Oryzias latipes: one gene and its partners. The protein of the gene in region 1 binds, or shares a complex with, the protein of each later gene. Links are inferred from orthologs where the notes say so. Each region holds a gene or a part of one and is shown on either strand. Other genes may lie near its edges.

The links.
Region 2: the proteins of filamin-A (region 1) and cftr are in contact, whole or in part, in a crystal structure (PDB 3ISW), measured with the Homo sapiens proteins. The link is inferred for Oryzias latipes from reciprocal best matches to the Homo sapiens genes FLNA and CFTR. Residues at the interface, in NP_001104026.1 of Homo sapiens: Thr2263, Gly2267, Ala2268, Gly2269, Gly2270, Leu2271, Ala2272, Ile2273, Ala2274, Val2275, Glu2276, Gly2277, Pro2278, Ser2279, Lys2280, Ala2281, Ile2283, Ser2284, Phe2285, Asp2287, Phe2311; in NP_000483.3 of Homo sapiens: Ser10, Val11, Val12, Ser13, Lys14, Leu15, Phe16, Phe17, Ser18, Trp19, Thr20.
Region 3: the proteins of filamin-A (region 1) and fblim1 are in contact, whole or in part, in a crystal structure (PDB 4P3W), measured with the Homo sapiens proteins. The link is inferred for Oryzias latipes from reciprocal best matches to the Homo sapiens genes FLNA and FBLIM1. Residues at the interface, in NP_001104026.1 of Homo sapiens: Met2207, Gly2208, Thr2263, Arg2264, Gly2267, Ala2268, Gly2269, Gly2270, Leu2271, Ala2272, Ile2273, Ala2274, Val2275, Glu2276, Gly2277, Pro2278, Ser2279, Lys2280, Ala2281, Ile2283, Phe2285, Cys2293, Glu2306, Phe2311; in NP_001337080.1 of Homo sapiens: Lys7, Arg8, Val9, Ala10, Ser11, Ser12, Val13, Phe14, Ile15, Thr16, Leu17, Ala18, Pro19, Pro20.

What each region holds. Positions count from the first base shown.
Region 1 is NC_019865.2:4,651,470-4,661,904, forward strand, and holds part of filamin-A, read left to right. Parts: coding exon 1-77; intron 78-186; coding exon 187-299; intron 300-450; coding exon 451-600; intron 601-687; coding exon 688-1,006; intron 1,007-1,743; coding exon 1,744-1,917; intron 1,918-1,997; coding exon 1,998-2,160; intron 2,161-2,245; coding exon 2,246-2,406; intron 2,407-2,511; coding exon 2,512-2,679; intron 2,680-2,766; coding exon 2,767-2,890; intron 2,891-4,615; coding exon 4,616-4,772; intron 4,773-4,845; coding exon 4,846-5,035; intron 5,036-6,791; coding exon 6,792-6,815; intron 6,816-7,225; coding exon 7,226-7,473; intron 7,474-8,195; coding exon 8,196-8,270; intron 8,271-8,719; coding exon 8,720-8,819; intron 8,820-8,902; coding exon 8,903-9,043; intron 9,044-9,119; coding exon 9,120-9,248; intron 9,249-9,486; coding exon 9,487-9,660; intron 9,661-10,114; coding exon 10,115-10,276; intron 10,277-10,362; coding exon 10,363-10,435. UniProt on the Homo sapiens protein: Promotes orthogonal branching of actin filaments and links actin filaments to membrane glycoproteins. Anchors various transmembrane proteins to the actin cytoskeleton and serves as a scaffold for a wide range of cytoplasmic signaling proteins.
Region 2 is NC_019864.2:3,332,937-3,343,371, reverse strand, and holds part of cftr (cystic fibrosis transmembrane conductance regulator), read right to left. Parts: intron 7,199-10,435; coding exon 7,104-7,198; intron 6,476-7,103; coding exon 6,389-6,475; intron 6,132-6,388; coding exon 5,366-6,131; intron 5,267-5,365; coding exon 5,138-5,266; intron 5,055-5,137; coding exon 5,017-5,054; intron 4,755-5,016; coding exon 4,468-4,754; intron 4,355-4,467; coding exon 4,275-4,354; intron 2,540-4,274; coding exon 2,389-2,539; intron 1-2,388. UniProt on the Homo sapiens protein: Epithelial ion channel that plays an important role in the regulation of epithelial ion and water transport and fluid homeostasis. Mediates the transport of chloride ions across the cell membrane.
Region 3 is NC_019863.2:1,776,801-1,787,335, forward strand, and holds the start of fblim1 (filamin-binding LIM protein 1), read right to left. Parts: upstream 5,158-10,535; 5' UTR 5,024-5,157; intron 4,806-5,023; 5' UTR 4,782-4,805; coding exon 4,469-4,781; intron 2,176-4,468; coding exon 2,018-2,175; intron 491-2,017; coding exon 394-490; intron 318-393; coding exon 148-317; intron 1-147. Other genes in the region: tmem82 (transmembrane protein 82), read right to left, coding at 9,061-9,117, 9,197-9,381, 9,771-10,188, 10,258-10,453, 10,533-10,535. UniProt on the Homo sapiens protein: Serves as an anchoring site for cell-ECM adhesion proteins and filamin-containing actin filaments. Is implicated in cell shape modulation (spreading) and motility.

The DNA of each region.
Region 1 (10,435 bases):
TCCCAAGAGTCCCTTCAGCGTTCCTGTAGCGCCCTCCCTGGACCTCAGCAAGATCAATGTGACCGGCCTTGGAGACAGTATGGGCTTCACTTTTATTGATCGTTAATCTCACAAATTGGATTTATAGGTTCTAACTTTAGGGTTGTGCTTCATCATTTATCGATATTTACTGTAATTGAATTGTAGAGATGACTGTTGGCAAAGACCAGGAAGTGACTGTCAAATCAAAGGGCGCCGGCGGTCAGGGAAAGGTTGCTGCAAAGGTGACAGGACCATCTGGGAAGCCCGTGGCCAGCAAGGTCGGTCTTTGCTTCAGTCAGACTTTTTCATGGTGGTGTAAAGCCAATCATGAGATCCGGTTACGGATAAAATGCACCAAAAACCTGCGGTCCAGGTAATCCTGACCATGAGTGTTTAATTTTAATTCCCTGTGTCCTTATTTTGTTTCAGGTTGAAATGGGGCTAAGCCCAGAGACCAGCCAGGTGAAGTTCATTCCCCGGGAAGTGGGGCCGTACCAGGTCGAACTGACCTACGATGGCGTGCCGATCCCTGGATCACCATTCACCCCCACAGCTTACCCTGCGTCGGACCCCTCCAAGGTTGGCCTCAGTTTATAGAACTGCTGTGTTCGCACATAAATCTGCTGGGTTGACTTCAGCTGTGACTCTTTTGCCTGACCCCCTTAGGTGCGCTGCTCCGGCCCAGGCTTGGAGCGTGGCAGAGTTGGAGAGACGGGGGAGTTTGTCGTGGACTGCACCAATGCCGGTCCAGCAGAGCTAACCATCGAGATCATTTCGGATGGTGGCACTGAGGCAGAGGTTCACATTCAGGACAATGGAGATGGGACCTACACCATCACGTACATCCCATTGTACCCTGGCTGCTACACGCTCACCATCCGCTACGGTGGCCAGGATGTGCCCAACTTCCCCGCTCAGCTAAGTGTTGAGCCTGCAGTCGACACCAGCGGGGTCCACGTGTTTGGACCGGGGGTGGAGGGGAAAGGTAAAACTCGTTCGGATTCAATGTTGGTTTTAAAGTGAAACTGATTTCATTTCCAAATTTAAAGTATCACTCAGATTACCATTTGATGTATTTTCAAAGAGTTCCCAGGGGTCCTTTCATTATGCTGTTTTTAGCCAAAATCCAAAAACCTGTTGTTTTCTGGGACATAATTTCTGCAGAGCAACAGAACTTCACCTCTGAGTTGTGTGCGTTTGGTTCGCGAATGTTGTAGAGCAGCTCCAACTGCCTTTTTGCATTTCCATTGCTGAGAGCTCTCTGTTTACATGCTCTCCTGCTAGCTAATAGCCCCATCACAATCCCAGCCTATCATTTCTGGTGCAGCAGAAAAGTTGAGCAATATCTGAGCCATCTGGCCGTACGTTTTTGCCAGCTCGGACGAGAAAAATGATCAATGATCAAATGTACGTGGATCAGTTTGTCTGCAAGTCTATGCATCAGAATGGAGCGGAGCAGGGAGCTTATGCCCTGCCCTGCATATTTTCTACATAACAAATATGATCTTCTTCTTTTCGAATTGCTTTGTCTGCTCCCGATTCACGATTTGAAAAAAGAAATGCAATTAATATAAGCTTAATTTTCCTTAAACATCTCCGCCATCCTCTGAAAAATGATACAAGAACAAGTTAAAACACAATTTTCCTTGTAGTGGGTCTTTAAGAGCCCCAACTTTTGCCGGACTGCATACAGGCATTACATCGTGTGTTCTTCCTCTTTAGGAGTCTTCAGAGATGCTACCACAGACTTCACAGTGGATGCTCGCGCTCTCACCCAGACTGGAGGGGAACACATCAAAGCTCTGATCAGCAACCCGTCTGGAAGCTGCACGGACGCGCTGATCACGGATCTCCGAGATGGAACTTACAACGTGGAGTACACTCCGTACGAGGAGGGTGAGTGCAGCTGCAACGCGGTGAAAATTCAGCTGACGCTCCTTTTCCGCCACTGTACTCATCCCACGGGAATGTTTCAGGCCCGCACAGCGTGGAGGTTTGCTACGACGGCTCCCCGGTGCCCAAGAGTCCGTTCCGTGTCGCCGTCACCGAAGGGTGCGACCCGGCTCGTGTCCGCGTGCACGGTCCTGGACTGAAAACTGGCATCACCAACAAGCCAAATAAGTTCACAGTGGAAACCAGGTACATGGCAAAAACAGACCTCTGCAGAGCAGAAAATGAAATCTCTTTTTTTTTTTTTTAAACGTCCCTCACCTTGTTGTTGCAGAGGAGCAGGAACTGGTGGTCTTGGTTTGGCCATGGAAGGTCCATCAGAGGCAAAGATGTCCTGCATTGATAATAAGGATGGCAGCTGCAGTGTGGAGTATATTCCATATGAGGCAGGAACCTACAACCTCAACGTAACCTATGGAGGACAGCCCATCACAGGTCCACTCACACAAACAGACTTATTGTAAAATCTTGAATCATTTCTTCTGGGTTGATGGATCAAATCCTCATCTGAACCTCTTCTTGATATTTCTGTCTGCGCAGGGAGTCCTTTCACGGTGCCCGTTAGCGACACGGTGGACAGTACAAAGGTAAAATGCCAGGGACCCGGTCTGGGCAACTCTGTCAGAGCAAACATCCCACAGGCGTTCACCGTGGACGCCTCCAAAGCTGGAGTGGCCCCGCTGCAGGTCCGAGTTCAAGGCCCCCAAGGTGACGCATCCTTTTACCTGTAAATGCATGTAAAGCATGCCGGTTGTCTCGCTCTGTGTTGACGCCTTCACGTCTGTGTGGGAGAAGGTGTGGTCGAACCGGTGGAGTTGGTGGACAATGGAGACCAAACCCACACAGTCAACTACATTCCCACCAGAGAGGGACCGTACTCCATTAATGTGCTGTACGCTGACGAGGAGATCCCACGCAGGTAAAGCAGAGACGCACCTAAACGTTTAGCGACTCAGTTTGAAAAATTATGTTAAAATTCACTGACAAATGTCTACCTGTACAAACTGAAACGGAGATCAATTCTGGAGGAAAAAACTAATTTTAGCTTAAAAAAAAAAGATTTCCAGATTTTGTAAACTTGAATTTGCCTTTGCCTGCTCAGGCAGAATGTTTCAAATCGAGGCCTTCATCATGCTAGGTCATTAACTTTGAAATGAAATGTCTACATTTCCTGGGCAACAAATCTAAATGTTCCCACTTTTCACGTTTCTAACAGAAAAGATGACCTGGATTTTTCTCATCTTTTAGTTTATGCAGTTTTGGTAACTTCTTTTGATTTCATTTTTTATAAGACTGTGCAAAAGTTCAGGAAAAGCCAAAATCTTTTTAATGTCCAACTAGCTTAAAGTGGTACTCTCCACATAAATAACCTCCATTCCAAAGTAAATGAGTTGAGATTTTTAGAAATCTAGTTTATTTGCCTTTTCAACAGTAGATGTGGAAAAACTTTGAATGATTTGCTCAAAATTGGAATATGTTTTTCAAAGTGTTCCCATTGGTCTTTTAATTTTAAGTCTAACCTCCTCCCCCCCCACCACCACCACCACCACTTCCCCTCCCCGTTGCTGAGAGCTTGGAGGTGGAAGTTTATGGCCCACCCAGCATATTTTCTGTCACATATTTGATCTTTTTCAAACTGCTTTTTTTTCTCTCCATCTGATCCTGATTCACATTAATTTTTTTTTCTAAAGATATTATTTAAAAATGTAGTTTTAACCATAATTTTCTTTAAATATGTCCTCCATCAGAAAAATGCCACAAGAACATGTTAAAATAAAAAAAAACACAAGTTTCATCATTGTAGGTCTTAAAGTTCAAATGGAGAACACACAACAGCTAAATTAATTTGCTTGATCACACACCTTTTGTCAGCAAAGGTCACAGATTTTAATTTTGTCTTCAACTTGTAAAAAAGTGCAGTTTTTGTTTAAAAAAAAAGCTGCAAATCCAGTTTAGCAAACCTGTGGAACACCTGCCTGTTTAGACACCCTGGGAGATAAAATCATCTTTTTAAAATCTGATTCAAATCCATAAGCGCATCAAAACATGAACTAAACAATCTGGGCATCTCTAAACCGCATTTCCCACAAGAAGGCTGGGGAGGGGCAGATGTGAAGGTCAAAGTTGATATGAGTCTTTATAGTGAGTTAATCAGTAAACATCCAGGAGAAACAGCAGGTTATGGATAAGATAATACACTGATACAATCTCCATTTGCAACAGGAAACTTACTCCAGTCTTGTTCATGCATGATGCTGGATGACACATTTCTCATCCAAATGTTAAAAATGTTTTCATTTTTCAGCTCTGACTAACTCGTTGTTGTTCTTCAAACAACCCAAAAGACTTTAGATGGAAGTCTATCTTATTTCCTTTGTTTTTTCTGACTGACTTTATCCAGATTTTCTGAAATGCAGCACATTTGCAGTTTTCTTTTCAGAATTAATTTAACAATTACTGTTCACCTGTTCAATCAGAAACTGGGCTCACTCAATCCAGCTGATAAACTACTAAAGTAGTTGGTATCAAAAGGCAGTACAGGGTTGGAGATGCCTGATCTAAGCGGTCCGTATTCATCCTGTGCACTGTCATGAAATGAAATCCAGCTTTTTCCTGTCCAAACTTCACCTCATTTTTCTGTCAGCCCCTATAAGGTGAAGGTCCTCCCCACCCACGACGCCAGTAAGGTGCGAGCAAGTGGACCGGGCCTCAACACCACAGGGGTGCCCGCCTCCCTGCCTGTCGAATTCACAATTGATGCCAAAGATGCCGGCGAGGGGCTGCTGGCAGTGCAGATCACGGTGAGGACTCTAGAATAAGAGAACCGGTGGATCTGAGATTTCAGCTTTGAAGCCTTCGTCCTCTCTGCCGCAGGACCCAGAGGGGAAGCCGAAAAAGGCCAACATCCGGGACAACCACGATGGGACTTACCTGGTGTCTTATGTGCCAGACATGACGGGCAGATACACCATCCTGATAAAGTACGGCGGGGATGAGATCCCATACTCACCGTACCGCATCAGGGCTCTGCCCACCGGAGATGCCAGCAAGTGCACCGTCACAGGTGAGATCTTTATACCTGAGCCCTTACGGTCATGGAAATGAACACTTTGGGTTTTAGCTTCAACTGGATCAAATAAACCCCAGTTTTCTCAAAGTCTAGTTGGGTGAACTTGGAGAGGGTGTCAGAATCCAGGCCTTGAGGGCCGATGTCTTACATGCTTTCCAACCAACCTGAACAAACTATTGAGGCTCTTATTGGCTAAACACACCTGATTCAGGTAATTCTGCAGCAGACGAGACCGGATTCTTGGACAACCAGTAGGAGGCCGGGATCTTTAAATATGGAAACTTTTTTTTTCTTAATAGGATTTTGATGTTCTGGAAGCTTTGAGACGTTTTTCTTTTGATACCACCAGCAGCTCTAGATGCAAAGCTGAATCTACAGCTTTTTTTCATTCTCATGCTTTAATGTTTTAGACTCTTCACACTTAAAACTAAAAAAGCCAGAGGATTGGTTTTTGAGATTCTTTAAAAACGGTTTTAAAAGTTTAAGTTTGGAAAACATGGTTACATTTTTTTTTAAATATATTGAGTTGTACTCGAAAGTCTTAATAATTATTTAGACAAAAACTGGACTATCAGATCTAACTATTCTGACTTAAACCAGTCTAAAACAGTTCCTGTAATGCACACTTCATGACCCAATTCCTGAAATTAAGTTTTTTGATGAATTATCTAAAGAACAGACTTGAAGTCATCGCTCTTTATTGCTCTAATTCCTGACTTAAGCTTCTCAAAGATGATTTCTATTTAAATGGTCTCCTCTATGATTTGCAGTAGTTTTCTGAAGCGCTTTAGAGGCAAAGGTGACATCGGCTATCAGCCTATAGAGATAAAGCCTGGGATTAAGAGTTTGCTTCAGTTTTAAGTCCCACTCATATCAATTACCTGTTTTAAAAAACAAAAAAAACACATACTAAACATGTTTGCGTCTTTAAATATGGAAACTTTTTTTTTTCTGAATAGGATTTTTCTTTTCTCTGGAAATACAGTTTGAGATTTAAAGAGGATTTTGTAGAGCTGTGATTCAAACTGGAGTTGTTTACCTGAACATAATTGATGGGCTAAATCTGCACATCATTATGTAAAAAACAAATGAATCACTGCTCTTGTAGAAGGCTGCCTTTTTTTTTTTTTTTTTTTTTTAAACCAGCTTTGTACAGCTGCGTTCTAAGGTTCTCTATAAGAATTACCCCAAAGAGCCGGTCCTTCTGCTATTTATTTATTTATTTCTAGACAGTGCAGCACAGTGTTCAATAACATGTGTGCTGCAATACTATCGGCATTAAATTCAATTCAAATCTTTTTATGAGAAAAAAACAAATGTAATCATAAAATTCACTTTGCTAATTTGCTTAACTTAAAGCTGTTCTCTCCACCAAAACTGTCCAACAGATTCATAATGAATTTGTTTTGGGAAAGGATGAAGAGCTTTAAATGTCATATTTTTGTTGGGTTTGTTTATACATTTTTTTTTTTCCTGCATCTTCTGCTTATTTATGGTTTCGTGCATTGTTGTTCCTCCTGCTGTGCTCCTCAGTTACACATCCAAATGTATAAGCACCTCCATACACGCACACCACCCCGTCCTCCACGCTGCACACTCCACCATCACCGTTTGGTTCTCATCCAGGTGTCTGGAGCACAGTTGTTGCTGCTGTCCTCTCACACACGCCCACCTGACTGTCTTTTGTCACTTTTGTTTTTTTTCTTTTTTTTTTTTCTTGCTTCCCCGCTTCCCACCGTTCCTTTATCAGTCTCAATCGGCGGTCACGGCTTAGGTAAGCCCACTGAACCATCTGTGAAGGAAATGCTCTTCTGTCCGCATGGAGGATAGTGGTTCCAGCTTTCTTCTTCCTTTTTCCAACCCTCCTCCCCGACCTGTTTCTGTTCCCCTCTGGTAACTGTGCGTCGTCGTCCTCCTCTGTCTTGTTTTTGTTGGACAGACTAATAGACTAACAGAGCAGGTAAGATTGCATGGTGGAATGGCTCTCTGGCTAATCTAGCCCTCAGTTAAAAAACATGACGACTCTTAACAGAAGTTTCATTGGTAACAGTTTACAGTAGACTGAAATAACATGACTAGATTGACTTTAACAAATCCTCCAGGTTGTGGAATGTGCATGCTGCGTGTTTGAAGCCACAGTTCGTTTCTAAGCTGCTGCAACGTTATCGCATCTTTTTCTTAAAGGCGCTGGCATCGGCCCAACCATCCAGATCGGCGAGCAGACGGTCATCACAGTCGACGCCAAGGCTGCAGGAAAAGGAAAGGTGACGTGCAGCGTGTGCACGCCTGAGGGGGCGGAGCTGGACGTGGACGTAGTGGAAAATGAGGATGGCACTTTTGACATCTTCTACACAGCGCCACAGCCTGGCGAGTACGTAATCTGCGTGCGTTTTGGAGGAGAGCACATTCCCAACAGCCCCTTCCAAGTCACGGTGAGTGGTGTGGAGGCTTGGTATCAGGGCCTTGGAGGGTTTGGGTGGAGCAGGAACTGTGGGGGAACAAAACACTGATTAGACTTGGGATTAGAAATGGATAAAAACATATTTATCAAAAATACAGCCACAAAGGGTAAAAAGTGGGTATAGAAAACAAGATAAATATTTAATCTTTAGGGAAGATTAAAATACGGGGGAAAAAACTGGATGAGCAGTTCTATCTTTAGTCTAAAAACTGGTTGTTTATGGAACCATTTATCATCTGGACTGCCTCCGGTTACTATGATATACTGGTGTTTTGGCTTAGTTATTTTTTATGCAAATGAAAAAATTACCCGTTTGCAGGTATTTTTTTCTGTTATGTAACACACTTTGAAATGCGTCATAAGATGTTTGAATGAAGGGATGCCTCTGTTTAGAAATGTGGGAAACGAAAAGTTTACTCTTCTCATTTTACAATTTCTTTTTTCCTTTTTGATGTAGTGTTTTCTTACATTTTCTTATGCACATTTAATTAAGACACTTTTAGTCCTCCATACTGACCTCATATTGAATTTATAAGGTTTTCGATGTCCATGTAGCAAAATTCTAGGTTCCTTCAAAAACTACAATGGAGTCGGCCCTTTTTTTTTTTTAATATTCAATTTTGACGGCTGCTTTTGTTTCCCGTCGAGCCTTATTGTGTCTTCATCTCCTCACCCCCTGTCCCCCTCTCTCAGGCCCTGGAAGGAGCTCCCTCAGACCAGCTCATGCAGCAGAGCCAAATGGCCCAGTACTACACTCAGCAGCCCTGGGTACCCAAAACCTGTAGCATCTCTCATCCCCCTAACTCCATTTCTCAAACTTCCTTTCATTTAATATCATCCTTCATCCTTTCGTTTCATCCCATGTAGCAGCTCCATCATCCGTCGTCTCTCTTTGCAGGTGTTTCATGTTTCAGGGAGCTTTTTTCTTCAGACAGAAGCTGACATTTTGAAAGTCCATAATGTGGACTTGCTATTGGTTCCACATCTTTCAAAATGGCTCATTGTGGCTGTTTGTCCTTCCATCATGACTTGCATACGTGTTCTCCTCGCAGTGTGTGTTGGTGCAGTCATTACCGTTGTCTCTTCCATTTGTCATTTCATCTCATGATTTTCATCCTGTGTCGGTGTTTGGAAGTTCCTGTGTTCTTTCTGGGATGTGCTGGAAAAATGCGGCATTTTGCTGCACCCTCCTCATCGTTCATCTGTTCGTTTCCCAGGCAACAGACCGGCCAATGGGAATGAATGGTCTGGATGTGGCAGGGCTGAGACCTTTTGACCTCGTAATCCCGTTTACCATCCAGAAGGGCGAGATCACAGGTAACCTTAAATACTTGATGAAACCAGCAGTTTGCCATCTGCATATCAGGAGTGATGAAGAACATTCTCCTCATCTTCTAAAGGTGAGGTCCGAATGCCTTCGGGTAAGGTGGCCAAACCCGACATTACTGACAACAAAGACGGCACCGTCACCGTCAAGTATGCGCCTACGGAGGCCGGCCTGCATGAGATGGACATTAAATACGATGGCATCCACATCCCAGGTACCGCAGAGGCAGTTTGTAGAAGATGGACGGAACAGAGGCAGAATACCTACAGCTGTCATCCTGATATTCACAGGAAGCCCTCTGCAGTTCTACGTGGACTACATGAACAGCGGAAACGTCAGCGCCTATGGCCCCGGCCTCATCCACGGCACCGTCAACAAACCTGCCGTCTTCACGGTTGATACTAAAGATGCAGGAGAAGGTACGGAGCTGTTTTTTGTTTTATTCTTTTGATTGTATTTTTTTAAAACAAGACAAACTCGTAGCAGAACCCCACTCCTCAGAACACGAGAGGCGTCCAAAAGAATTAAACAAATCTAAAATATAAATCTGTGGGGAGTCCACCACATTCTACTTTACTTTTGTTGTAAAGTTATGAAATCAAAGACTGTAAATTAAAGAAAATGTAAACATAAGAAACCCATTTTCTGCCCTGGCAGGAGGTCTTTCTCTGGCCATCGAGGGTCCATCCAAAGCGGACATCAGCTGCGTGGACAACCAGAACGGGACTTGCACCGTGTCCTACCTGCCTGTTCTGCCGGGAGACTACAACATCCTGGTCAAATACAACGACAAGCACATTTCCGGAAGCCCCTTCTCTGCCAGGATAACAGGTGAGGTTCAAACATGGGGCAATTAAAGTCCCACTCTGATCATCTTCTGATCTATTCTGAAAGCCTCCCTGTGGTCTTTTTAAATGCGTTTTTAGACAAAATAAAAAGTCACTGTAATTTTTTTAAGTAGTTTCCTTAAAGCAGCACAAGTTCATCAGAAGTTCAGCTGATTTTTGGCGGGAGTGCGCTTGTGGCCCGCCCAGCGTATTTTCTACGTAACAAATAAGATCTTTTCAAAAGCAGTTTCCAGCTTCTCCCGATTCACAATTTGAATAAATAATCAGAAATTTAAGCGTAATTTTTCTCTGCATGTCCTCTATAACCAGAAAAATGCCACAAGAACACGTCAAATACATCAAAAACACGATTTTCATTGGAGTTGGTCACAAACATCATTCAGAACTTAGGATAGACTTGGAGGAGTTTGTCTGATCTGTGTGGCTCTGATCTGCAGGTGACGACTCCATGAGAATGTCCCAGCTAAAGGTGGGTTCAGCTGCAGACATTCCTCTGGATATTGGCGAGCTGGATCTTAGCCAGCTGACCGCCTCCCTCACCACGCCCTCCGGCCGCGAGGAGCCCTGCCTGCTGAAGATGCTGCGTAACGGACACGTGGGTGAGTGCGACCTTTTGACCCTAGCGAGGAATAAACCCCAAACACAGCTGTTGCTGTAATGCTCCCGTTATCTATGTTTGCAACAGGAATCTCATTCATTCCCAAAGAGATGGGAGAACATCTGGTAAACATCAAGAAGAACGGTCGCCACATTCCCAG
Region 2 (10,435 bases), on another chromosome or scaffold:
GAGGTAAGACGTGAATCGCCGAGTGTCCACCCTTATTAGTTTTATTTCTTTGTAAATTGTTCATTAGTGTGTTACACTCATAACTCACAAAGTTGGGAATCGTGTGGTGTCAATTTTACGTAATTTGTGTTGTTTTATTTATTTTTGGCTGCTCTATATCAGCAGATCTGCACTGCTTCGCGTGAACTAGTTGAGGTTCGCGCCATTTTTCTTTGATGTTTAAATTAACTTTTCCTTCTTTCTTTTTTGTTCATTTTTCAATTGTTTAAGGGGGAAAAAAATCACACAGAAGAAACTCCAGACAGCATTCTGAATTTGTATTTTCTGTTAACCAGGTACGGTGCAGTTTTCTCTTTTTATCGTGTTCTTTTTGTATTACTTTACATGCTGTGGGGGGAGGTGCTAATAAGCATGAGCACTGAGACTGCTGGGAGCCGTGGCTGAGGGGGAAAAAAATCACACAGAAGAAACTCCAGACAGCATTCTGAATTTGTATTTTCTGTTAACCAGGTACAGATTAAAAGAGTTTGACTCGGCATCCAAGTGTGGTCTCTCATTCGCCTGAACACAACGCAGAGCGGAAAACTCCACCAGTTACACTCTCATCATGGCATCACTTTCACTCAACCCTCTTCGTCATTTCACCACGTCTGAACGATGGATTTGATTGTTCTCAAAGTGGGTCTTTAACAGCAGCACTGATGCTCATTTTTCCGTCAAGGATCCCTGAAAAAGCAACTGACTCTACTGAAAGTAGAGGAGGCTAAAGTTCAAGACTTTAGCAGTGAAATACAAACAACAACCAGCTGGACCTCAGGGGCTTTTTTTCGGCGCCTGCTCGCAGCTAATGGTCAGCCAGAAAATGTCTGACGTCACCCATTGGATTCTCCCTGGCAAAAACAAACCCTGAAGTGGGATGGGCAGTTTGCTCTGCCCACTTCTGGAACATTCCAAAAATAGTGGGACAAAGTAGCGTTTTCAGCTCTTTTTGTCCACCAGGATCCACACACCTGCCAATCAAAAAGGCATGCGTTTTTTCGGAACTGTACCCTCTCCTATTCTTTAATCATTCTCCAGCTTCTTGAGCTCCGTTTTTCCCTTTTTTGGACCCCTGTCCTCCATCTCTAACATCCATCACTCTCTGTCTCTTCTATCTTCCATCCAGTCCAAAAGAAATGTTGTGTATGTGTGCCCAAGACAATCACTCCCACACACACTAAGACATGAACAGCTAGAGCCGCTTTAGAGCAGGGGTGGGCAAACCATGGCCCGGGGGCAACATGCGGCCCGTTAAACTGTTTAATCTGGCCCACCAAACTGGAATAAAACATTGATTATGCTTATTAATGTTTTATTTTCTCTGTGATGATGGTGTACCCCCATAGATGGTGCTCTACAAATATATTGACGACAAATACGTGTTTTAGGTGCAGAAATACATTCTGTATTCATGTGGTGTTGGAAGAGTTTTTCTAATGTTTATGTATGTTTTTCAAGTGGGGCAGTCATGTTTCCAATCATTCCAAAAGCACACGAACGCAGCATTTCTCAAAGTTCGTGTTTTTAATGAAGAACATCATTGGTGCAATTGGTGGGAAAATGAAAAAAAAAACAGTTTTAAAATAATAGCTCTAAAATGTTCTGTTTAATGTGTATCTAAAAAATTTTAATCAAAATTGATTCCTATTTTTGTCCAGACTCCATGAAATTTTTCATGGTGGATTATCAAAACACGACACAGATCTGCTCCTGATCCAGCCTTTCTGACAAATTTAAAAAGCCTTTGTGGCCCACGAGTCAAAATGGTTGCCCACCCCTACTCTAGAGTAACCAGTTAACCTATGAAGAAGGTTTTTGGACTGTGGGAGGAAACTGGAGTCCCAGGAGAAAATCCACGCTTGCACAGAGATAACGTGCAAACTCCACACAAACCAGGGCTTTCACTCTGTGAGGTGAGAGTGCTAACCTCTGCACCAGAGTGTGGCCCTGCTTGACCCAAATAATACCACATTTGAGCAGTAAAATGATTGACTAGTTAAAAATAAAAGCATCCGACTGTATATGATATTTTTGGAGTATAAGTCACAATGTTTTGCATTGTTTGACTGGTGATGTGGCGATAAGATTTTTTCTTCTTTATTATGTATTTTAGGCTGCTGCGACTTATACTGCGGAAAAGATGGTATATGTTTCTTAATAAACCCCACTTCCAACATGGGAGTCAGTAGGAATTTTCTCCCTTCTGACACCAGCAATCTGTTGAGGAACTGGATTATTTGACACTTGTTTTGTGTTAATTTTGGAGACAGAAGACGGGGGGTTGGTACTGACACATCATCAGCAGCAGCAGTTTAGAGACACTTTTTAAGACAAAGGACCTTTATTTACCTTCAGCCTCCAGCTGTTTGAGCTGCTGTCCTGTTCGTAGATAGTACTTCCTCAGGACAACAAATATGACAGCCAGGGGAATGGCAGCTATGAAGATGTAAGGTCGCATGATGGACACGGTGAAGATGCATCCGATGACCAGTAGTGTTAACTAAGGTGAGAGAAAGAGTGTGATAGGAGAGCATAAGTTACAATTCAAAACCACATATACGACAAAATAAAAGATGACCAAATAAATGTGGTTCAAACAAAGTACTTGTTCCATCAGAAAGCATAATTTAGTCCACTCTGCACTAGACATCATGTGGCTGTCAGTACCCAGCAATGAGACACAAAAATAGTTTCTTTGCATTTGCATTTTATGGATAGAATAAAAGAATACATAGGCATCCAAAAAATGAAGGAAGGAATGTTATTTAGGTTGTTGTAGGCTATTATAGAAGCTACCCTCTTGGACAGTTTTAAAGAAACTGTTCCTCCACTTACGTGCCTCATTATCTGCCTAGGTGACCTTTTATTATGCTTTTAACTCTTGTTTAATTGTTTTGATCCTTTTCTTTGTTTTATCGTCATATTATTTGTTGATGTAACTTTATGTACAGCACTTTGGGCCTCCTTGAACGGTGGTGGAAGGTGTTGAATGAAGAAAAATGCTTGCAGGTTTTTCACTTACCCCCTTTTTCAAAGATGCTTACAAGACCTACAGTACCTGCAAGTTCAAATCAACTCCCCAATCTGTATTTGAATTGAAATGGAATCAAATGAAATAAATGGTGTGCACTTGTAAAGTTCTATTCTACCTTGCTCAAAGGCCCAAAGTACTTTTCAGTTACAGTCCCATTCACACACACTGATGGCGGCTCAACTACTGAACACTGGCGCCAACGTGTAACCACCACCAGGAGCATTGTGGGGCTCAGTGTCTTGCCCAAGGAAATTTTGATTCATGGGCGGGAGCCAAACCTGCAATCCTCCAATCAGGGGTTGACTACTCTGTTCACAAGTCACAGAGCTAGTCTAGATCATTGACTCTCTATGAGAAAGAGACTGAGTGACTGCTCCCCCTTGTTGCTCCAAGCAGGAAGTACCTGCTGGTTCTTAGAAGCCAAAATCCCATTGACTTCTATAGAGAAATAAACAGCTGTTATTTAGTCAATCTGCTGGTCAGAATAATAATTTTGGCCCTGCTACATTTTTTACTATGTTCTTGATGATTCTTATTTTCTCCATGATACTTTTTCTTTGTTACAAGTTTTTTAAGTTATAAACTGAGAAATCAGGAGCCTCAATAAAAACAGCTGGTCTCACATTCAACATTTAAAACGTTTGATTGGCAGATTTTGTGAAGCCCGCTTTCAAGAGGTAGGGGTGTGAACTTCTGTAAAGCTCACTCCTTATTGGTGAGAGTGGTTGCCATAGAAACAATGACTTAGTCTGATTTGGACCAATCACTGTTTACTGATGGTGTCTGGTTCCAGCATGTCGACATCAGTATTTTAAAAAAAGAAAAAAATGACTTCATTTGGTTGGAGACGGAAGTAAATCCTTTTCTATGGGTGACGTCCCACTCACTCAGTCCAGTTCTCATGTACAGTCAATGGTTTGGAGTCAAGTCTCAAGTTCCAGCCTTTAAGAATGAAATGCAATTAAAGACCAAGGGTCATGTTCAAGTCCCCATCCTGCATCCGCCATATTTCTGAACAAAATAAGAGCATTTTGACTGCAGATGAATTTAACTGCACTGGATAGTTTTAAGAAACAAAGAACAAGCAAGAGGTGACTGCACCAACCAGCACCAAAACCCTTTTTTTGATCTTCATTTGAACCTACAAAGATAGGATTTTGCCTGCATTGAAATTTTTGGTTACATTTTTATTGTACAATACCTGTATGAGGTCAAACAGCATAGGAGGCAGCATGTCTTCAATAATGGCCATGTCCTTGGTAAATCTGTTCATTATGCGAGCTAAAACACACAGACATATCCAAGTTAGCCTTACACCCCACTTCAGTGAGAATGGAAGTCAGTGTGGTTACTCAAAAGTGGTAAATATGACATCAAAACAAAGAAAAGGGCACCTGTTTTAATGGAATTGAGCACGGACATGGGGGCGCGCAGCACAGCGCTCAGCATCTGCTCATGAAGTCGTTCGGAAACGGTGAGCAGTGAGTGCACCAAAGGAAGGCCCCTGAAGACTCCGAGGGCCAGTATGCTGTCTGAATGGGCCACAAAGATGTAAATAATGTAATAGGCGCTGGTCGGAGTCACAATAACTGCCAGATGGACCGGGGGGGACGAGGAATTGATGGGCTGATCATCGATGTAGTTGGGTGAGTTTGGGTTGGCACCATCTCTCCAGACTTTACTGATAAAACAGAGCAGAAGACAGAAAGTCACGCTATGCTTCAACGGAAAAATGATCACATTTTGTCTTAAGGTTCAAAACATCCACTTAATTCTAGAAACCTACCATTGATAAGGTTCATAATTAAACATAATGTGAAAAGGAAAACATTTCCAAAAAACTCCAACAAACACTCCAAAACAAATATCTCAGACTCTGAAAACTAGATTTCTGTTTGACAATGAAGAGTTTTATTTCAGTTTTGAGGAACACTGACACTCACTCTGTTATGAGAAAAATACCAATGACTGAACCAGCAACCTATCAGTGGAGACAAGGACAGAGATGTTCATATTATGCTCACAACTTTAAAAGCATGGACTTGAAAAGGGTTTGAATCTTACCTCAATGGCAAAAACAATAGCAATGAAAATAAGGACATATATCAGGGTTTTGTTGGTGGAAACATAGCGGAGGTAAGTGCTCCACGAGGTAGTCACAAAGACATTCTCACGCTCATCTGCAAAGCATTGCTGTGGAAAACAGAAGAGACACTTGTACCCAGATGTTGACTGAAGAACATTTGTTTGCATTTGATAACACATGAAAAAAAGCCTGTGTATTGGGCACACCTCCATGTCTTCTTCCTCCACCTCTTCTGTGATCTCAAAAACGCTGTCCTTGGACAGGCGCCGTGCATAGATGTCCAGCTCTGTTGCCAGGTCGTACTGTGGTGTGACAGACAGCTTTTTTCTGAACGATGACTGCATCCTCTCTCTGCGGTCTTGGCCCTGAGCGTTAGTAATGAAAGCCAGGACGGACTGGCGCCGCTGTCCACCGAGGTGCTGCAGCCCGTGGTGGTACAGGTTACTCCTTGGAAGTGCTTCCTCCACTTGATCATCCTCCGGCACCACAGAGAATCTTCTGTCGGAAAGTTCATTGCCACCCTCCTCCATGAGTGACGGCTGGAGTGTGCCTGTCTGCTGGGAGTTCCCTATAAAGGAGATTTTGCGAGCAGCTGCAATGGGGTTAAGGATGAGAGACTGTTTGCGTTTTTCAGGGTATCCATCAACCCCGTTGTGACCCTGAGGTGGCGCGTGCTGGAACGACTGGCGAAGTGCTTCCGGGCCTCGGAAGCCAGCGGTTTCGTCAACCGAGACCCTGCGAAGAGTTTCTGTGAGAATGGAAGAGCGTCGCTCCGCGACAATGTTGTCATAAGCTTCAAGACCAAGCAGGAGGGAGCTGAAGTCGGGGCGTTGTGCCTGCAGCTCTGAAAATGTACCATAAAAGTAACACTCTCCGTTGTGCAGCATGAGGATTTTGTCTGAACGCTTGAGGTGCTCTAGCTTGCTGGTGACCACAACACGGGTCTTGGAGCCCATCAGCTTACAGACACATCTGTGGAAAGAGGATGAGGCATGCTCAAATGGATCTTTAGCAAAATATACAAACGGTTTCTGTTGAAAAGCACATATTGGAATGCAGAATAAGGTGTCTCATGACACCAGACATCATTTCATCAGAGTGTAATTCTTACAGACCGACTGCTCACCACAGCTAATAAACATGAAACAACAAGAGAAAACCTTAACCTTGAACTTTAGCATCCCTCCCACCCCACTGCTGCTTGAAAGAGTTTCTGTCGGCATACGTACTTATCAAAGACCTCTTTCTCTGTTGCAATGTCCAGGTGGGTGAAAGGAGCATCCAGCAGGTAAAGGGCTGCATCTTTATACACACTCCTGGAAGACAGAGTGCCAATGCAGCCAGTCAGAGAAGAACACAAAGGAAAAACATTAAAAATAAGAGTTGAAGTAAAGAGAAAACAATGAGCACAGCTGTTCCTAAACATGAAGCAAAGGAAAGGTGAGGAAATACAGTAAATCATTCCAGCTGACCCTTTCCAGTGAGGGTAGAAACAATCAGAGGCCACAAATCACTGCTACAACATAACACTAATAAATCGTTCACAGGAAAATGAGAACATGTCTGATGATTTGTTTCTGCATAAACAGTAAAACATTTTAAGGAGTTTTTTCACACACAATCAAAACAGAAAGCAAACCATCCTCTGTGAAGGGACAGACTATTTTGATAACAGCGAAAAATTCCTTTTTCCCTCTGGATTTCCACTGATAATCAAAGCAGCTGGATTATAAATGTACCTTTGTAATTTAAAATGATTAAAAATTAATATTCCTAAAATATTAAATAAACTTTTAGTAATTCCCAAACCGTTTGAATCCTTCACATGTTACTTTAAAATAATGTTATTGGACTTTTTAACTTTTTTTTTTACTTCATTCGTGCCCACATTTGGTGAAAACAAAGGTCTGTGCCCAGACTGATGCACAGCTGTGCAGTCAGTACCTGGCCAAGCAGATGCGTGCCCTCTGACCGCCGCTGAGCGTCGATCCTCCTTCACCAAGAGCTGTCTTGTCTTTTTCAGGCAGTGACGCAAAGTCCTTAAGAGAGAAAAACACGTTTATCAGCATGATTCCCCCGTAAAAGTAAAAAGGGGAATTTATTGAAACCGAATTTTGAAATTTGCTAGAGATCAAACTAAGAAAGTAAAGCATTGAAAAGCCTTTGCTTGTATGTCCAAAGAGGCTCAATCCTGACTTGAGTTTAAATGGATCAACAACAATAAAGTTTCTCAAAGGAGAAAGAAAAAAAAACTATAAATGAGAATGAAACACAAACAAATACAGCATTTGATAGTTCCTTATCACAGAAACAAGAATACTCTGCTCTGGAGTGTGTTGCAAAGATTTTAGCACCAGCCCCTCCCAACCCACGAAAATGAGCGGGTCCTCACATTGTGACGTCACAAAGGAAGAACAGCCCCTTCCAGGAAGAGTCTGTGCTGCCAGCCCCGCCCCCTGGCTAACACACACACTCACGTTCTCCACTGAGCTAGCGATGATCGGCTAAATGCTTTCATTTGATGTGCACAACATGGACATCAATCTTTGCAAAACTTTAGATGTTGCTTGTTTTTGTGGGTGAAACGCAGAAGACGACTCTAGATTGACGTCATTAAATGGGCGGCACCCACATGGAGCGGACGGCAGTGACTCTAAGAATGAGCTGTGTTACTTCAGAAAATGAGCTGTGAAAATAACCAATAATTTCATTTACAAAAATAGTTCCTAAGTGTGCCAAAGGTAATATATTATCACATATATGGATCTAGCCACAGGGGTTGCAATCTAGCCACAGGGGTTGCAAGCCAGTAACTTCTGTGCCGGTCCCAAGCCCGGATAAATAGAGAGGGTTGCGTCAGGAAGGGCATCCGGCGTAAAAATTGCCAAAATAACCATGCGAATCATCCACGAGAAAGATTTAGACATACCGGATCGGTCGAGGCCCGGGTTAACAACGACCGCCACCGATGCTGTTAACCTACAGGGTGTCGGTGGAAATTTGACTACTGTTGGTGGAAGAAAGAGGGGAGGCAGAAGGGTCCGTGGCCAGAGAGAGAAGGGAAAAGGCAGGAACATAGGTTTGAGAATAGGGACTCTTAACGTTGGCACAATGACAGGGAAAGGCAGAGAGCTGGCAGACATGATGGAGAGAAGGAAGGTAGATGTACTGTGTGTGCAGGAGACAAGGTGGAAGGGCAGCAAGGCACGTAGTATTGGAGGAGGATACAAACTGTTCTATCATGGTGTTGATAGGAAGAGAAACGGGGTAGGAGTGATTCTGAAGGGGGAGTTTGTAAACAGTGTTCTAGAGGTGAAAAGAGTCTCAGACAGGATGATGAGCCTAAAGTTAGAAATTGAAGGGGTGATGGTGAATGTAGTCAGTGGGTATGCGCCACAGGTTGGCTGTGAATTAGAAGTGAAGGAGAGATTCTGGAGTGAGTTGGATGAGGTCATAGAGAGTATCCCCAGAGGAGAGAGAGTTGTTATTGGAGCAGACTTTAATGGGCATGTTGGTGAGGGCAACAGAGGTGATGAGGAGGTGATGGGCAGGTTTGGTGTGAAGGAAAGGAATCTGGAGGGACAGATGGTGGTGGACTTTGCGAAGAGGATGGAAATGGCTGTAGTCAACACTTACTTCCAGAAGAGAGAGGAACATAGAGTGACATACAGAAGTGGAGGTAGGAGTACTCAGGTGGACTACATCCTATGTAGACGAGGTCATTTGAGAGAGGTTAATGACTGCAAAGTGGTGGTAGGAGAGAGTGTAGCCAGACAGCACCGCATGGTGGTGTGTAAGATGACTCTGGAGGTCAGGAAGAAGAAGAGAGGGAAAACAGAAAAGAAGACCAAGTGGTGGAAGCTACAGAATGAAGAAACTTGTGAGGAATTTAGGCAGAAGTTGAGACAGGCTCTGGGTGGTCAGGATGAGCTTCCAGATGACTGGGAAACTACAGCAGAGATTATCAGGGAAACAGGTAGGAAGGTGCTAGGTGTGTCATCTGGAAAGAGGAAAGACGGTAAAGAGACTTGGTGGTGGAATGAGGAAGTACAGGAATGCGTCCAGAGGAAGAGGTTGGCTAAAAGGAAGTGGGATGTAGAAAGGACTGAGGAAGGTAGACAGGAGTACAAGGAAGCGCAGCGTAGAGTGAAGAGAGAGGTGGCAAAGGCCAAACAGAAAGCTTACGATGAGCTATATGACAGGTTAGACACAAAGGAAGGAGATAAGGACTTGTTCAGGCTAGCCAGACAGAAAGACAGAGATGGGAAGGACGTGCAACAGATAAGGGTGATTAAGGACAGAGATGGAAAGGTGTTAACAACCCAGGAGAGTGTACAGAAAAGATGGAAGGAGTATTTTGAGGAGCTGATGAACGAGGAAAATGACAGGGAAAGAAGGGAGGAAGATGTGGTTGTTGTGGAGCAGGAAGTAGCAGAGATTGGAAAGGATGAGGTTAGGAAGGCTCTGAAAAGGATGAAGAGCGGAAAGGCCGTTGGTCCTGATGACGTACCTGTGGAGGTATGGAAGTGCCTAGGAGAGACAGCAGTGGAATTTCTAACAAGGTTGTTCAATAGGATTCTAGAGAGTGAGAAGATGCCTGAGGAATGGAGGAGAAGCGTTCTGGTCCCGATCTTTAAGAACAAGGGTGACACGCAGAACTGCAGCAACTATAGAGGAATAAAGTTGATGAGCCACACAATGAAGCTGTGGGAAAGAGTAGTGGAAGCCAGGCTTAGGAAGAAGGTGGAGATTTGTGAGCAGCAGTATGGTTTCATGCCCCGTAAGAGCACCACTGATGCCATTTTTGCTTTGAGAATGTTGATGGAAAAGTACAGAGAAGGTCAGAAGGAGCTGCATTGTGTGTTCGTAGATTTAGAGAAGGCGTATGACAGGGTGCCGAGGGAGGAGCTGTGGTACTGTATGAGGTCGTCTGGAGTGGCAGAGAAGTATGTCAGAGTAGTTCAGGACATGTATGAGAGAAGTATGACGGTGGTGAGATGTGCTGTAGGTCAGACAGAGGAGTTCAAGGTGGAGGTGGGACTACACCAAGGATCAGCTTTGAGTCCTTTTTTGTTTGCTATGCTGATGGACAGGCTGACAGACGAGGTAAGACAGGAATCTCCCTGGACAATGATGTTTGCGGATGACATTGTAATTTGCAGTGAGAGTAGAGAGCAGGTGGAGGAACAGCTAGAGAGGTGGAGGTTTGCTCTGGAAAGAAGAGGCATGAAGGTCAGTCGTAGTAAGACAGAATACATGTGTCTGAACGAGAGGGA
Region 3 (10,535 bases), on another chromosome or scaffold:
GTCTCCTTATCTTGAGCAGAAAGAAATGTTTATGTTTGGTTTTACCTTCAAATGGAAGGAGCTATCAATCCCAGAAACAGATAACATAAGGTTTTGTTCTGTTTTGCCCCCGTGTATCACTGTAAAGTTTAGCTGACGTGGACCTACCTGGTAACATTCCTGACAGATGGGGATCATTGCTTTGTTGTAGTAGAGTTCACCAGCCAGCGGAATGTGACAAGATCTGCACTGGAAACAACCAGCATGGTAGGTCCTGTTCAGGGCATCGATGGCAGTCTCAAAAAGGGCTATTGGTTTCCGACAAAAGCCGCACAAGTCTGCAAAGGGAGCAGAGCGTCAAAGTAGGTCATAGCGATGTGCGGGTGCACACAAAAGCAAACAGATCGCAGTTACCGCCGCTCTCCCTGACTGCCTCCTCTCCACCGCTGTTTCTCATTCCATTGGCTTCTTCCTCTTTTCTCATCCCACTAGGTGGTGTGATTGTTTCCACCTTTAATGAAAATCACAAACATATAGACTTTACACCAAAAAACAATCTTATCAAAAAAGTATTTTCAAAAGCAAAATAATCTAAGTTTGCAAAAACCATGTCTCAGTGACTAGAATTTCTTTTTCTTAAAATAGGAATTCTTGGTAAGACAATTTTTCTCACCCCATTGGCAGACTTTTTTTCTTTTGCTTATTTAAAGAAAATGTTTCAACTTAAAGAATTTGAACTTATTTATATGCAGTGCATACATGAAAAAATGTTGCTTTAACAAGATGAAGCTATGCTTGACATCGTCACAAGATTATATAAATCTTCTGAAAAAGCCACAGTTTATGAAATTGTTCCTATTCGTTTGTTGTTGTTTTTTTTAACCCTTGTGCTATCTTGTGGGGTCTAGATGACCCCATTGCCACCGTTAAAGTGCCTCAGAGGCATGTTAACGTTGGCAATGGGGTCATCTAGACCCACTAGACAGTGTTCTGAACCTTTTTTCTTCAATGATTTGTGATCTTCACTGGTGACCATGGATTACATGAAATCTGTCCACCTTTATCCACCTTTGTCATGGTGGGGAGAACACCTCAATGTAAGGGGGGGGCGGGGGGGTCATCTGGACCCCACAAGATAGCATAAGGGTTGTAAAGTGTTTATATTAAATTATGCAGGCGAAAAACATAAAGGATCAAATATGTCTATGAAGACTCTCATTCATCCAGGTTGGTTCCATTGTAGTAGGTTTAGGGGATGTCATCTGGACTTGGTTTTAAAGTTGGAAGACGTTTCACCTCTTATCCAAGAGGCTTTGTCAATTCTGAAATAGCTGGTCTAAGAGCTGGTATATATGCGTTCATGGGGGATGAGTCAGACCTGAAACTGGAGGTGTTGTCCACTTAGCCTACATGGTTTTGGGTCGTTAATATACCTTTGTCCTCAGCTGGGGGTTGGGGAGTCAGTGACTCCCTCTCCAAATTGGTCGTCTCTTTCAGCGGTTAACGACTCAGGTGGAACTGGTTTGGTTTGTTTAGGTTTCAAAACACTGCCGTAGATGGATGGAAGAATAAACCTGAGACCAGCATCCTTAACCTCCTCTTAATAAGAATGGTGGTCTCAGGTTTATTCTTCCATCCATCTACGGCAGTGTTTTGAAACCTAAACAAACCAAACCAGTTCTGCCTGAGTCGTTAACCAGCTCTTAGACCAGCTATTTCAGAATTGACAAAGCCTCTTGGATAAGAGGTGAAACGTCTTCCAACATTAAAACCAAGTCCAGATGACATCCCCTAATCCTACTACAAAGGATCAAATATTAATGCAGAGAGCAGAGGATGTCTGCATCCATGCATCTCTGCACCCTCAGCTAAACGTTTTGAACCCGATGATGTCAAAGCAGGTTCACAAATACAACAGCCGTGTAGAAATGAAAATCTCCAGATCTGTACTGCAGCTTTTATCTCATCATGTTGTTGTCAATTGAAGTAACAGTAACTGGACATTTGGAAAGTAACATTGAAGGATAAACTCGAGTACCTTTTTCTCGGATGTTGGCTGCTGATGTGGGGGAAAGGGTCGATGATGAGAATGAGTCTGTGCTGGAGGGGCTGGCAGAAGAGCTGAATCTTCTGGAGATGGACGCCATGCATCGAGAAGAGGAGGAGGAGGAGGAGGAGGAGGAGGAAGAAAGAGCCCTAATGAGAAGCAAGAAAGTACGTCCTAGTTTGATGTCATTTAGTGAAAACAGGATCAACAGCAAAATCACCGTTAGAGGTTTTTGTGATCAACAATCTCAATCGAGTTCTCTAATCTCTCGGGTGGGCTGACAGCGGGACGTCGATGGTTTGGAAACATCAGGAAACACAAAAATTAAGAACAAGCATTGCTTTGACGTGGACTTTTTTCAGAAGACTAGGAGGCTAAGATATTGCTAACCTAAATTTAAAATGTTAAACAAATTGTTATTTGCAAACCCATTCAACATTTCAAATAGAAAAGACAAATACTGACTTGGCCATTGTTATAATCTTCCTAAAGTTGGATGTGTTGGTCCAAAAACATTTTAAATTGGCTAAACCTTTAAATAGAGATATTTCAGAAGTTCATTTAAAATTCTTGTTTAGATTTTTACAGATCTACAATTCACAGTTTGTTCTACAAATACATTTAAAAACTTTGTAAAAAAAAAAGAAAAAAAACCCTGCTAAAATAGAAAACTAAATATTAATAAGACAGACATCTCTCCTTCACAAAATGTGAAACATTGAGTAATCAATTGAGCCAGCAGATTGACATTTCTCTTTGATGCTTTCAGTTCAGTTTAGCCTTGAGCAGTTAATGTCGGATGAAGATCAGTGAAGTATTTCCCTTTTAATTTTTACCCAAGTCCGGACAAATAAAAGAGTTTTCTGCACCTTGTCAGCGTAGAATAAAGAGGCATTTCTCCAAACAGCTAACATACATATCTGTTCCAAAGCCTCAATGCGTGAAATTCACATTGAATCACTATGAGATAATGTATTCAAAGGAAGGTCAGTAAAGCTATTTAAATAACTGGTGTGTGCAGAGGACGCAGTAAGATGAATAAGCGGTTGCTACCATTGACTGCTGGATTGAGTGACTCTTCCCCGTGGCGTTCCAAACAGGAAGTACCTGATGGTTCCAAGAAGCCAAAATCCCATAGACGTTGTTAGAGAAATTAACAGCTGTTACTCATTCTATTGGTCAGAAGAACCATTCTGGGTCTGATACCTTTTTGAACCTGTTCTTGATAATCCTCTTTTTTTTACCTCTTTATTGCTAGTTATTCAAGTTATGAACTGACCAATCAATTGCCTCAATAAAAGACATGCGGTGCCCACCGGCCCCCACGTCTAAAATCTGAAATGTTTGATTGACAGATTCTCCTGAGCCCACTTTCAAGTGTTAGGGGTGTGGACTTCCATCAAGCTGGCTCCTGTTTGGTGAGAGTGGTTGACACAGAAATGATGACTCAGACCCACTGAGTGGTGACTGAATTGTTCTCATTTGGTTGGAGTCATGTTCTATGGGTGATGTCACTCTCACTCAGTCCAGTTCTCTTATACAGTCAATGGTCTGAACAGCCAAGACAAACTATTCAAAGTTACACATGCAGTTGGAGTTCTATAACAACATTTTATGAACCCATAGGATCACAGTTTTTTTTTTTTACTTTGTTCTTTGTTTTAGATATTGCTTCATTACTGTTTTCAGCTTCTCAGGTACCAAGTCTATCAAGTCAAGGTTGGCTGATTCCTGATGCAATGATGACGTCATGATTGCTTTGAACACGCGTGTTGCAAACAGTTCAGCTCTCTGCATATGAGAGTGCAAAGTTTTCTTGACTTTACAGTGCCTGCATTCCTGTAATCACTGTGAAAACAAACCTCGGTGCTCATGGGCAGACGGAAGACCCAAAGGCCCAATCAGGTTTCATGTAGGATTGAGAAAAAGGAACAGAAGGAGCAGAATCCACTTCATGCTGCCTGTCGCATCAGACCGCCAGGACGACTGATGCACTGATCAGATCTCCACTGAAAGTTACACATCTGTCTTTTTGTGTCCCTCTCAGTTTACTTCCATTTCTGCCACTCAGGTGTTGTAAAACAACATTGCTCAATCTCACTTTAGGAGGTGTGATTAGTCACCGATAGACTCACAAACTCACGACGGGTCTGGTTTGTTTCCTGTTTATCCATTCACCACTTCATAGCTCCCCTCTTGTCACCACAACAGTTGTTAGCTATCATCAGAAATAACGAATTTGCACACTAATTATAGTTTCCTGCTGCAGATTGTGTGCCCCACTCCTCCTAAATCCTCCTTTCTTACACTTGCACTTGTTCTTTTTGTAAGACTTTTGATTACGGAGTTAAACTTTATCATACCAGAACATTTTGTGCACCGTGCCTTTGGATTGATCTTGTTAAATGCATTTCAAAAAGAAAGATACTTGGCACTACATACCTGGTGAGCATCTCTTTGTTTGGTCTGCGTTTTCCTGTTGTCCGCTTTGTGCAGGTGTAGGAGTCCTGGCCTTTGCATGAGTCCAGCTTTTGCCGTTTACAGAACCGCGGGTGTCGGAGGGTGAGTGGTCCTCCGTCCTGTGTCTGGGGCCGGGTAAACCGCCAGCCGGGCTGGTGTCCTGGGTTTCTGCGCCCAGCTGTAAGCTGTAGGCTTTGAGGGAGGGCTGCCGCTGTGTGACAGTGGCCCGATGAGGAGACGCCAAAGTGATGAAGACAGAAGACACCACCCTTTTTGGGGGAGCTGCTGATGCCATGATGGACAGAAGCTCTCATCCACACTGACAGGAGAACAGGTCAACAGTTGTGACTCACTTTGGGAAACTTTCTGCTTTCATCACACAGGAAAAAATATTCATAAACAAGTCATTTAATCAGTAATTCTAGTGTGAATAAGCTCCTTCATCTTTGGCTTCAGAGAACCTTCTCACAATGAGAAAATAATGAGGAAGAAAAGCACACATTGTAAAAGTCGGTATTGCATGTTATGGATACGTACCTGTGGGGAAAAGGTTGCTCAGAGACAGCCCTTTGTCTCCTTCTTTCTCCTTCTCTGGATCTCAAACCTTCTGGTTTATTTTCCCTCCCACGAGCAGAAGACTTCACTCTTGGTGGAGAGGGGCTCCAGAAGGCCACTCCTTTTCCTCCTTTATCTCCCTCCCTCCTTCCCTCCTTCCCTCCCTCCCTCCCTCCCTCCCTCCCTCCCCAGCTTTACCATCTGTTGACCCCTCCTCCTCCTCCTGACAATGCCACCTCCCTCCAGACCGTAAAAGGTGAACAGTTAATCTCTGGCGAAGTGCAGTAAAAACCATGACACATTTATTCACTATGAAAGGCTGGCAAGCGCGCAAGCCCACGTACACGTGCATGCATGCATGCACACACACACACACACACCGCAGGTTATGCAACCGCACTGAAGTCATGCAGAAGATAGAGGAGCGCTTTTTCAAACGAAGTGTCACAAAGGTATTTGCTTTGGCACCGTAGAAAACACTCCCAGATGGTTCTCTCTGGAGGTCAGCAGGATGTGACTCGACGTGACTTTTGCAGCCTAAAAGCTTTTGTTGTTCTGAAACCTTGTGTGTTGTTGTTGGTCCTGCAGCCCTCATTGGGTCTGCCTTCGTTTTTCTTCTCCCTCTTTCCTTCTTCCCCTCCCCCCACAAAATCATATCACTTCACTCACTATCAGCGTCTTTTGGCATCGCCTCTTCTGGGGCCACAAAGACATCCAGCACAGAGCGCAGAGGATTGGGGTGAACTTCCTCGGACTATTTTGGTGAAGCTTTGGTGCACAGGAGCAGGATTACAGTGCACTGAATCAAGGCATTGTGAGACGTTTTAGTCTGAATGAAGCCCATCCATAAGGACTACCACAAGTTTTTTTTTTATATCTATAAATTGACCAAGCAGCCAAAGCCCTATAGCCTGACTTTTTCTAAATTTGCTAAAAAGAATGGAGTGATAAAACCAGCTTTCACGCTTTATATAGAAAGGGAAAGCACGGCGAGGGTTAACAGGAGGTGGCAATGAGGAGAAAGATGGGGGTCTCTGTTGTTCCAGCTCTTTGGAAAGGAATGCTGCTGTGATGTCATGACTGCAGAGGGGAGCATGCCCAGTAGAGACACAACATGCTCAGAGAGGAGACAATTCCCGGACCTCCACGTTTCAACACCCCACATGCCTCACAAAAGTCTTCATCTCATCACTGCCTTTGGACTCCTTTTGCTTACAGCTTAAAAAAGAAGGGGGGGGGGGGGGGGGTTAAGAGAAGTAAAGAAGCCAAAGAAACAATGAAAAACACATTGTACACGAGAAAACACATGCAGCTAAACTCCTCTATGGAGAAGAGCTGCAAAACTGCAAGTGTCTACGTCTCAAAAAAGTCAGTAATGGAGGTATCACAGCCCCCGCTTTTACATGCTGTGTCATTGCTCAAAAATGCTGTTTGCAAAGTGAAACTCTTTTTGCTGCTGCCAGAAAGAGAACCTTGTGATTCTTTCCTCAGTGTATTGTGTCTGTTCAGCTGAAGAAACTTCAATCTTTTTTGTTGCATCGAACATCAGGGGTCAAACATTTGTCAAGTTGATACGCCTCACAGCAAAGACAGTTGGTTTTTTCTATTACTTTCAAAATATGTTTATTAATTATAAAAATGCACAAAAGTTTTTACTTGTCAACTCTACGAGGTAACAGATTGTAGAATTACATAAAAAGGTAGCCAAAAAATTGGAGAAGACTAATCTTGATTAATAAATAACTAGAAAGTAGTAAACTACAGGTGTGATTCTTCTGAACAAAGTCCAAGCAAAAACGCACACACAACAATGCTTTACCTTTATTTTTTGTGTTTCCTCATGTTTCCAAAAATCTAGAAACAAGGAGTTCAACACAAGACCTGTGAGGAAAAAAGCTAATGTTAGAAAGCATAACTTCAAATATGTAGTTATGTCATACAGCCAATAACTAGTATTTGGTAACCAATTGTTTCCCTGTTTTTCTTTCTTTATTTTAGTATCTTCAACCATTTTTTGCCACTTAGCTCCTACAATCTATCAGCTATTTTAACCATTCAGATGTTAAAAAGTTCAGCTTTTTCCAGCTATGACTTTTGCTCCTTCAAATCCTTGAACTTTTCAAGATATTCCAGGATTTCCAGGACTTTTGCCTCCATTGAAACACATGCGGAATCCTTGGTGCAGAAGCTTGCTGGTTTTTATGGAAGCCTTTCTGTTGCATAATTAAAAATAAAAGTCAATACCAAAAATGCTTTTTCATTTTCAAAATCAACCTGCTTTTGTTGACTCAAATCTTAAAAGAAAAATCAATCCACCAAAATGCTTTTTCCTTTTTGTTCTTCAACACCGCTTATTCTGTGACATAATTAAAGCGATAATGCAAAGATGGGGTTGCATTTTCATTTTTCATCTACCGTGCGAAACATGTCCCATAATTCAATTCCAGACAGCATTTCCAGGAGGGAGGCGGAGCAATGACGTCAGTGCTTATTCGGTGTGGCCAACTGCTAAGACACAACAACAAGTCTAGGAGCAGTGCGGCCAGGATCGTAGCTTTGTGTTCGCGGCAGGGGAGGGTGCTTTGTTGCGTTGTGCGCTCCTGGTTGTTTAAACAGTTTCTCAGGACTGCGTAGCAGCATTTACCATATTTTCCGGACAATAAGTCGCCATTTTTTTCATAGTTTGGCAAGGGGTGCGACTTATACTCCGCAGCGACTTATATTAGAACTAAATTGAAATAAATACATTGTTAACCCTCCTGTTATGTTCATTTGTGAGGAACAGAGATGATGTTCCTGGCTAAATTTGATGTTTGAGGTATGTTAAGTGTTAAGAGTATGTTAAATGACTCAGAGAATCAGCAAACCTTTTTTTACATTAAGATCTTGAAGGCTAACAACATAATATTTTATTTTCCAATGATTTCATAGATTCAGAAATGCAATAAAAATGACAACTGTTTCTACAAATACAGGATGAAAACAGAGTATTAGTTGGACAATGATGCTTCATGAAAGGAATAAATAAACAAGTATGAGAAAGAATTACTGTGAAATTATGAGATAAACAGTCTGCTATGATTGTGTCATATGAGGTTGTGGAACTTATTAGTTCTTGGTCTCAGATTTTGTCACACAAATTTCCCGTCAAAATGCGACTTGTAGTCCAGTGCGACTTATCTGTGTTTTTTTCTACTTTATAATGCATTTTTGGGCTGGTGCGAATTATACTCCGGAGCGACTTATAGTCCGGAAAATACGGTATTCAGCAATATAGTATTCAACCCTGCATTTTCTGCTGGAAATTCTGCTCCTTCTAATTTTTATTGGTAGTTCTAAGCAAATTGTTTGTATCTTATGAGTTTTTATGTATCTAATTGAAGATGATTTTGAACAAAGTGACAATAACCAGTACATTAAGCGGAAAACACGAATGTTAAAACAAAATGTGAAAAAAATGTCGGGAGCTTGGAGCAAAAGGGTTTAGACTGTTTTTATCAAAAATGTCCTTAATTTTAGATCCTCTTACAGAGACAATTTGGGACTGGGCTGATTCTGACAGACACTTGGAAAAGTGTACAGCAAAGAGAATTTAAAACTACTTTAAATCTTGCAAAATTTAAATGTCTAAAAACAAGGTTTTACATCTTTGCAAAGATCAAATAGTCTTAAAAATTGTATGAAAAATCAAAGCTTTTGCATATCCAGTCATGGAAAAATGAACACCAAACCAAGTGGTTGCATTTAGAACATTTCTGAACATCCCAGAGACTGTTGTGCGCACATGCCAATTGTTACTCAACATGTTTTCCCAAATCATTGTTAGGTCAAGAAGTTGTGGCACAGATTATTCTTTCTTTTAAATATTTGCTTTTATTGGCGCTTCAGCCCAAAACAACTACCAGTAACCAAGATTCACATTTACATCTCTGCAGTGACCAACAGATTTCTGTTTCATCAACACTTAAGGGTAACTAAAAGTGTTTTGATGCAGTCTCTTCTGACCGAAGTTTCTTCTCTCATGTCCTGTGGCTGGACGTCTCTTCGTTGTTACTTAAGCTGGTCTCTTGTTCATCCTGAAAGCGAGTCATGAAACACAGGAATCACTTTTGCAGTCGGACACGTATCCAGCAAATGGAGGTGATTCAAACAGACCTGCAGCACAGCCTGCAGCAGATCCCGGGAGGACAGCAGACAGACTGCTTCCCCCCAAAAAGAGACGAGGACGTGAAGGACATCCGACCAGTTCCCCACTGTCAGCATCAGCACCAGCAGGCCTCCCAACCGCATCACCACAGTGTGAAGGAGCTTCTCCATCCCCGCCTGCTTTTGCTGAGCTTCTGCAGACAAAAGACGGAGTTTCACTTCAAAACATTCGTGCCATCTTGTTTTGTTTATGATAGGAAGGTTTTATTTTTATTGCTTAATTTTCAGGATTTGCCAAGTATTATACAATTTTACATTGGGTAATAAAATTGTTTTTACTTGAACTGCTACAGTAAAAAAAAATCCTATCCTTCATTCTGTATGTCTGATTCAAAATGTAAAATATTTCTAAACCTGAAAAATCTCTTTGGGATTTTATTTTCCCCTTTAAAGATTTCTCTATAACCTCTTTAGTTATTACATTTAAAATTTCTGTTATTTTTGCAGATTTTAGCTTCGATGGTACATTTGTTTGCGCACTGGATATTTTCCTTCCATCAACGAGACTTTCCCTGATCATCACCTTGAGTGAAAACCACCAGCATAGTGTAGCAGAGAGTCAGCGGAGTCCAGAACTTTATAGCATCTTTGTGGAATAGGAAGTGTTCATAGACGGTGGAGGCAGAAGCCACAGTCCCTACTGCGAAGGCCAAGACGACCGCTCGCTGCAGCGAAGCCAGTAAGGTGTGTCCAGAGGTCAGAAGGTGGATGCACTTTCCACAGTAACGCTCTGTGCTGTGCAGAGCGTAGAGTCTGGCTGCATGGCTCCAAAGACTGCTGCTGTAGCTCGCCACGACCCAACTGAGGCCAGCAGCCAGCAACAAGCTCAGGGAGCTGTGGAGAGCCCCCTGATGGAGGAAAGCTAAAGTGCAGAGGAGGCTGCAGCCCAAGGAAAACTGACACTGAATGAGAAGCAAATCCAAACTTCCGACACCTGCATTCTGGGTGCAAAAGCAAACATTTAGATGAACTCAACTAAATATGAAACTGTTTGTATTCTAGGAACTCACCAATCCGGCTGACATCCAGGCAGAAACAGCTCTGAGCAGAAACTCAAGCACTATGAGTGAGGATACTCTGGAGCCAACCACAGACAAAACAAAAGACAGACTCCAGAACTGAAGAGCTGCTCTCCAGCTGCTCCTCAGGGGGGTTTCTGGTGAGGAGGGCTTCTGTTCACTCTCACCTCCAGATATTTCTGAATCCCTGTAAAGGAAACAGGAAGTAAATCAGACCATGTATCCATTGCCTATTTGTTCAGTCTAGCTTTCTCTTGCACCTTTACCTG